2 linked regions of the Drosophila melanogaster genome follow. The protein of the gene in region 1 interacts with the protein of each later gene in a pairwise test. Each region holds a gene or a part of one and is shown in the gene's direction. Other genes may lie near its edges.

Region 1 (3,797 bases):
ATCCTTTGATACGCCGGCGGAGTGGGTGCGCCACATGAACAGCCAGCACACGGAGATCGAGTTGGCCATGTTCAACAGCAAGAAGGATGGCGAGCAGAAGGGGTGTGTGTCCTAAGGGCTAGCAAAAGCACACTGATGAACTCTGTTCACTTGCAGCCAGCAGCCACCGCCACCGCCGGCGACCAGCAGCTCTTCCACAGTGTCCAACAGCCAAATGCAGCCAAAGTATCCCAGCTCCACCGCCACCAGATCGACGCACTCCCTCATGCTGCACAAGATGAGCAACAGCGATGCAGTGGCCACAACCACATCTCCTGGAGCATCCACCTCACCGAATGGCTAAGGCCAGCCATAGGGATCAACTTCAAAGAACCATTGGACCATTGGCGAATGAAGCTGAAGGATTCGAAACCGGATGCCCATGGATAAATTTGAAAACAGCCATATTCTTCATTCATTTTCAAAAATCTCAAGTCGTTCCAATAATCAAAAGTGAGATGGATGTTTATATGCAACAGCAAGAACCGTGATCAAAATGCAACCAGTTTGCATATTTTATAGAGCAACAAACAAAATACAAATTGCGAACAAAAAAAAATTAACGAAACTATAAACGAAACTTAGAATGGAAATCGTCAGGCAACGATGCAAAACAAGACAAAGCAAGAAATTCAGAAACGAAAGCAAAGCAACATTTAACTCCAGTGTGTAGAATTTTTTTAAGTGTACGTATTTACTTAGTTTTAGCTATTTATCCCATGTATTTACCGTAACAACAACGCGCAATTGATTCGGGAAAAAAAACGATACAGTTTAATCATTAAATTTTAATGTTTACCATTTGCGGACATTTTTAAAATGAATTAAAAACTAAAAATTAATCATCCACTTGAGTTTTCAAAAGGATGCATCAAAAGAAATCCCATTTGTAGGACCAAAAGCAGCGAAAGGATCTTTTTACATTTTGATAAACAATTAATTCCAGCAGCAAGTGTAGTTGTCATTATTTATTACTTTCCAATTTGGTTTTTCGAATGCAATTACTGATAACAACTATTTATCGCGACTCAATGATGTCAGCAACTCTGTTGTATATGTATTAATACTTTTTTGTATTTTTTGTAAGGCATGAACGGAAATTTCGAGAACTTTTTTGTACATAGATTAAGTTTGATTTCGAAAGTCCGCCGATCGAAACTTTTTACGAAAAGTTCATAAACTTAAAACTCTAAATGTACGTAGTAGTTCCGAGGTTCAATTAAAAACAAAAATAAAGCTCCCCCCAAACCATGTAAAAACAAAATATATCTATATTTACAAACAGGCGTGATTATTAACAAACTAAGTAGATGTACTATGTATAATGCGGAGGAAATGATTGTCTCTTCCCACAAAACAAATCGCAAATGTAGTAAAGCGTTTTAAATCGAAATAAACGTCTGCGATGAGAAATCGTTTTTAAAAGCTAACGAAAACTAAGAGTCACGTCGCAAAAAGCTCGATTATTCTTATTCGCGTTAAAACACAAACAAAAAACTTTATATAAACAGAGCGCCGTCGAAGAGAAAACTCAGTTCGCATTTCACCGTCGACATTTCAACAGTTAAGCGAATTTGTTCAGTTCTGCAATTAAACAAAATGAGTTCTGGTAAACATTTGGCCAAAGGTAAGAGAGCAAGCAAAACCAGTTGTCGCCGCCGCCAAGAGAAACGCCCATGTCATTAGAGTGTTTATAGTATTATTTATAAAACAAGTTCTCCAACATTCAGCGTAATTATCGAATAACGATTTTTATATTTCATAATGTTAAAGAATATTGGCATGAATAACTGGGATTTTTTGGTTAAAAAGTTAGAAAGGTATATTATTTGGTAAATTTCAATACGATCTTTATTCTTTTACAATTGTAGGTAATGCATTAAATTAATTATTTGATTTGTAAAATTTACTTACATTTTTAGCTATAGCTTTCACCCCGATATCAGATAACCCATAATATTTACACTCTAAAAGATAACGTAGCTACAAAATTTGAGCTTTATCACGACTGGGCCCTATCAACATTAACTTAAGTGCAATGACTTGCTAAACAAATAATAATACAGGGGTGGATTTTAGGGTTCCACAAGTGACTCATGAAGTTATTGATTTATTTGTATAACCTAAATTTAACTGGTAAATAAATTCTATCTTTAGGTTCCCCCAAGCCTGTACTCCCTGACGATGGAGTCCTTCGCCTGTACTCCATGAGGTTCTGTCCCTACGCTCAGCGGGCTCATCTCGTCCTGAACGCCAAGAATGTGCCCTATCACAGTGTCTACATCAATCTCACCGAGAAACCAGAGTGGCTGGTGGAAGTGAGTCCGTTGCTTAAGGTGCCTGCCCTGCAGCTGGTGGCGGAGAAGGGTGAGCCCTCGCTCATCGAGTCGCTGATTATTGCCGAGTATCTGGACGATAAGTACCCGGAGAATCCGTTGCTGCCCAAGGACCCATTGAAGCGGGCACAGGACAAGATTCTGCTGGAACGTTTCAGCAGCATCACCAGTGCCTTCATAAACATCCTTGTGCAGGGCACCGGTCTGGAGGATTACTGGACGGCACTTGATATCTTTGAGGAGGAGTTGACCAAGCGGGGCACCCCATATTTTGGCGGCAACAAGCCGGGATTCGTGGACTACATGATCTGGCCCTGGTTCGAACGCCTCTCTGTAATCGAGTTGAAGTTGCAGAAGGAGTACAACTTCAACGAGAGTCGTTTCCCGAAGATCACCAAGTGGATTGCCCTCCTGAAGGCGGACTCGGTGGTGCAGTCCTTCTATGCCACTCCCGAGCAGCACAACGAGTTCTGGCGCACCCGCAAGGCCGGCAATGCAAACTACGATCTGCTGGCTTAGATCGGTACTGAAAATGAAACTATTATATAACAAAGGAGATTTAATAATGTTCTAAAAACAATAAAAACTAAAATATTTTATGTGACAAAGAAATGAATTAAGGCTAGAAAGGCAAGAATTCCGTTCCAGATTCACAGAACGTGGTTCGAAAAACTTAGTTCTTAAAAAGTTTTGTTTTAAACAAATATTTTGGAGCAATATGCAGGTTGCAAGGGGGCTTCACTGTATCCACATGGCTTGGTATGTGTGTCAGCCGCAAGCCACCAAGTTCAGCCGCGTAAGCGAAGCCAACCGGCGAAGGGCAGTGAGCTGCACTTTATAAATCACTCGAATGACAATCGCTATCACCACTTGCATCTCTGGACCCGAGCACGCACATCATGAGTAACGGCAGGCATTTGGCAAAAGGTGGGTAGAGCCAGGAAACCAGGATAATCATAATTGATAATAAATGCGCCCACTAGGCTCACCCATGCCGGATGTTCCCGAAGATGGTATCCTTCGCCTGTACTCGATGCGCTTCTGCCCATTTGCCCAACGGGTGCATCTGGTCCTGGACGCCAAGCAGATCCCGTATCACAGCATCTACATTAATCTCACAGACAAGCCGGAGTGGCTGCTGGAGAAGAATCCACAGGGCAAGGTGCCGGCTCTAGAAATCGTGCGAGAACCTGGACCACCTGTGCTCACAGAGTCGCTACTGATTTGTGAATATCTGGACGAGCAGTATCCATTGCGACCACTCTATCCACGTGATCCGCTGAAGAAAGTGCAGGACAAGTTACTAATCGAGCGATTTAGAGCGGTGTTAGGTGCCTTCTTCAAGGCATCCGATGGCGGTGATCTGGAGCCCTTCTGGAGCGGCCTGGACATCTACGAAAGGGAGCTGGCTCGACGTGGTAC
Region 2 (4,484 bases), on another chromosome or scaffold:
AACAGTGACATGATGTCCCCAGAAAGTAATAAAATGATTGCGTTTAATGGTTGGCTAAGTAAGATTAATCAAAAGGAAAAGAGGATGCCCTTTTTTTGATTAACAACTTAATTGTAAGGTTTATTACATATAATAAAAGCATAAAAAATAACACAAACTTTGGAGAAAGAGAAAATATAAATGTAGACGAGAAGACTGAACTTTTTACTTATCCTACGGCAGATCGACAATGTACCTAAAACAAGATTAGTTGGAAATGCACAAGTAACAAGTCTTACACAAGAGATTAACAGCTGCCAATCCATAATATTATCCTAAGTGTTCTAAGTTTAAAAAGCGGCACATTTTCTCACAGCGCTGAAACGATTTCTCAACGAAAAGATGTCTAATCCTCATCTGAAAAGGCGCGAAGAAAATAGGTCAGCAATGTCGAAAGGGAAATGCAAATCACATAATGCTACGCACCAGAAAGATAAAAGTTTATGATGCACATGGTCGCAAAGCCGGCGAGCACAGTTGCAAACTGTGCAAATCCCGCCCAGCGTCGCGTTGAGTTCGAGTGCCAGCGCGCCTTCTCGCGCGGTATCACCTCGCAGACGGTGACGTAGAAGAGTGTGCCTCCGGCCAGAGCTTGGACGATAGGCAGAGTTTTGCTGGACCAAGCGGCGGGCACGTCCACGATAAGCATGCCCAGGCCAATGCCAATGACGGCGCCCAGGGCAAACACCGAAATGCCGACGAACTGGGCGCGAAAACTCGTCTGCGGATTCGAGCGGAACTCGAGCCCCAGACAAAAGCCCATCACGAACTTGTGGCAGGCGACGGCCCCTAGAAGAAACAGAACCTACGACGAGACAAAGCAGATTCCGGTTATCTAATTGGACTAAGCCCTCGCATCTCTTTGCTTCAATATTTGCCTAAGATTGCGCACTATAGCCGATCTAGTCTAACTATGTCAAGGCAGGCGGCACAGACCTTTGTGGAAGAGTTCTGAACGCCGATGGCGAGTCCTTCGATGGCCGAGTGCAGTGACAGGGCGACAAAGAGACCCAGAGTGCCTGTCATGGATTGGGCGCAGGGTTCCGTGTGGCTGGTGTGGCAGATGCGGGCGTTGGCGTCCTCTACACTGGCATCATTACAGCCAGATGCGCTGGCCGGGTGATTGTGGTCATGATCGCTGCGTAATCGAAGCACAAAGCAATTAGTTTTGGCTGCGGGAAGGGAAATGCAATAAACCTACTGGCTATGATGGTGCGAATGCCCATGTGACGTATTGGGTTCCGCTGATAAAAGGGGCGCTCGTTCGTCCACTGCGCCATAACCATTGTCATTAGTGGGACGTCTTGGTGGCTCGGTTGCTGGAGTCTCTGCATCGTGGGCATGAGTGTGCTGAATGGCCTCGCCAAAGAAGTAGTGTATGAACTCGTCGATAAAGTAGATGATGAAGAACCCGCCGCACATGGCAACCTCAGCGAATTTCGAGTCCATTTGTTCGCGCACCTGTTGCATGCGTAAGTCAGCAGGTTATCAAATTGCAGCCACACACACGATCGCAGTCCAAGCTCTTACCTCGGGCAGAATGTGCACCAGTGCGGTGGCTAGCAGAATGCCCGCTCCGAAGCACAGGAGCAGGGATGCGGTCAGCGGGAAGCGGCGACGATTCCGTTCCGATATAAAGGCGGGCAGCAATCCGAACAAAAGACTCCCGAGTCCGAGGACCAGCATAGCCAGCACTTTTTCCAAGTCGCCGCGACTCGTGGCAGCCAGGGTGGGGCTTGGGGTGATCTCCATGTTTAGACCGTCGGTTGGCAAGCTCATTGTATCAACTGCCAGACTGTGTCATCAAGAAGGGGGCCAGTAAAACACACAAAAGTTCGTTGCATTTACTATTTTTAAACTAAACAGTTGCGAAGTGTGTGCAGCTGCTTTCGTGCGAAATACCAAAACGCCTTACAATGGGGGGGCCACAGAAAAGTAAGGCATTTCAGCAGTGCGCCTTTCAGATCACACTCATTTAAACGGTTTTTTTTTTTTTTAATTTTATTTAAACATTTAAATCTAGAACTATTCTTTTACCAACCACCACCATTAAGAATTTCAATAAAAGAAGGTAGGCACCCTCTCCAATTATAGTTTTGCACTTCGACAAATGCTCCTGTAGTTAAAATTCAAAATTTTACCGTTTCCGTCCTGGTTGTCCGTTGGAAAATGCATCGTCGTTGTATAATCTGTGGCCAGGAGCCGGGCGAGCAGTGCGTCTACCCGCGCAACATGTCGGAGGCTCGCCGGTGGCAGAACTTGGCCAACCTCAGCAGTTTTGACGTCGACCCCGAATCGCTATGCCGGCACGGATGCGTTTGCGCCTCCCATTTGGATGGCCACGGATCAGGTTCGGAATCGGAGAGCTCGTCTCGTGCTGCTGGCAGGGCAAGGACTCAAGCTGGCCTGCAGGAATGGAGCAGGTGGAGCTCTTCGGCATCGGACGCTGGCCATGGCTATTCCATCAGCAAAAAGACTAACGAGCGGATCCAGAACCAAAGCAAACAGAGTCTCGGCTCGGAGAGGCAGGAATTCAGCAGCGCGAACAGATGTACGAATGGTTGCTGTCGTTTTCGAAACACCTGCAACAGCATGTTCCAGGGCAATACATACACCCAAATGGGACAGAAGTATCCCAATCCACAAACAAGGGCCACAAACTTAGAGAACAAAAATAATCCACCTATGAAATTAAGCCCAAGGGTAAATAAACCGACCTTTGGAGCTGTAAACTGCACCTGTGATGGATGCACCTGTAGTTTCTGTCCAGTGCAAGGGATCAAAAAAGCGGTAGCCCCTCTAGAAGAGGATTCAGGCAGCCAACAAAGTATAAATAAAGAGTATAAAGAAAGAAAGGATAATTCCAAAGGCAGCCCAAAAAAACAGAGTTCCTGTGAACGTCTCACTTGTCCAGCTTTCAGGACAACGGACATAAAAACTGTAGCAGATGATTTCCGCAGTAGCCCGAACTACCCGGTATCGCCAACTTCACGAGGTAACAACAAAATTAAAAGTTCGATGAACCAGCAGAATACGAAGAAAAAGCCGGAGCTGAAGAGCGAATGCTGCCAGACGTGCATCACCCAGCAATTGAAGGATCAGGAAGTGCAGTGCTCAACGGTGACGCTGCAGACTCAGAGCTCTTCGCCTGTTAGGCGAACCAAGATGACCGGCTCGTTCAGCCATCAAACTGGAAGCTCAGCGACAGGTTTATCTGGCGGATACACCAATAATTCGAATAACTTTACTTGTGGCGGCGGCGAGAGAAGAACTTCAAATGCAATCAACGTGCTGCTTATGAACGGCACCCGGAATAATGACTATGAAGATGGGTGCTGCTCTCCGGCGAAGCAACGTCCCATGGCGCCGCCTCCAGAGATTTGCGTTCAAGAGTCCGATCTGACCGAAAATGATGAGCGAGCTGTGTTCCCGGAAATCGACAAGCCCAATTACAGAGTTTGTCGATCCTCGAACGAGACCAATGTTCTGGTCCTGGAGGAGAGTCCTTTGAATGATTGCAGCCCCAACCCAGGGCAGGATGCGAGTACACTAGATAGCAAGACGAAGAGTAATTTTGATGCTCAACAAAACGCCAACGATAATAAAGAGCAACATAATAGTTTTCTAATCAACTGGCTTGAGTCCCCGGCCACGAGTAACTTCACCAAGGTTCTGGAACTGCAGAGATCTCGCATCAAGGAGCTGGAGAATCTGCTGGAGCAGCACAGCCTTCTGCAGCAGACAATCCAGCACAAGGTTGCGGAGCTGCAGTGCACAGATATACCGGATCCTAAAAATATATCTAAATCATAAACCAAATCTAGTGCGCATATCTCTGAATAAATTTTGTTGGTTTTCAAAGGGTGAAGAGTGTTTTATTCGCTATTACCGCTTGAATTCCAATACCAAACTTTCAGTTTGACCATCTAAATCAAGAGCAAATCCTTAAGAGTCTAGGCAGCGGTCTGGATGACATCGGTGTAGAGCTTGACCTTAGTGGCAATGCTCATGTCGACGTACTTGTCGCCAATGGAAACGATCAGGCCACCAATGATGCTGGGGTCCACGCGGGAAGTGATCTTCAGAGACTCGTTGCCCTTCAGGAAAGACTGCAAAGCAAATGAGCAATAAATTGAGTGGGTGAGACAAGACAGAAGCTAGGCGTAGCTACCTTAAGGGCACCCTCCAGCTGCTTGCTCTGGGACGCATCCAAGGGCTTGGCGGTGACCACCTCGCAGACGACCTCACCGCGATGTGCGGCCATGATGGTCTTGTAGGCATTGATCACGGTGTCCAGCTTCTTTAGACGTCCGTTGTCAGCCAGCAGACCCAACAGATTGACGGTGGCCGGGGCGAAGCGGAGCTTCTCGGATGCCTCCTTCAGAGCGGTGGCCATGACCTTCTTGTTGATGATGGGGCTGGTCACGTACTCGCGCAGCTTCTTG

What was found.
Region 2: the proteins of GstO3 (region 1) and CG14864 interact in a two-hybrid assay, tested with the Drosophila melanogaster proteins (one large-scale study listed by BioGRID).

What each region holds. Positions count from the first base shown.
Region 1 is NT_037436.4:8,517,316-8,521,112, forward strand, and holds GstO3 (glutathione S transferase O3), read left to right. Parts: upstream 1-1,569; 5' UTR 1,570-1,638; coding exon 1,639-1,666; intron 1,667-2,196; coding exon 2,197-2,894; 3' UTR 2,895-2,980; downstream 2,981-3,797. Other genes in the region: CG6765 (uncharacterized protein), read left to right, coding at 1-102, 157-343; se (sepia), read left to right, coding at 3,275-3,302, 3,359-3,797.
Region 2 is NT_033777.3:15,266,097-15,270,580, reverse strand, and holds CG14864 (uncharacterized protein), read left to right. Parts: upstream 1-2,151; 5' UTR 2,152-2,208; coding exon 2,209-3,852; 3' UTR 3,853-3,897; downstream 3,898-4,484. Other genes in the region: Zip88E (Zinc/iron regulated transporter-related protein 88E), read right to left, coding at 386-396, 466-844, 976-1,177, 1,241-1,500, 1,570-1,818; ATPsynO (ATP synthase, oligomycin sensitivity conferring protein), read right to left, coding at 3,993-4,148, 4,211-4,484.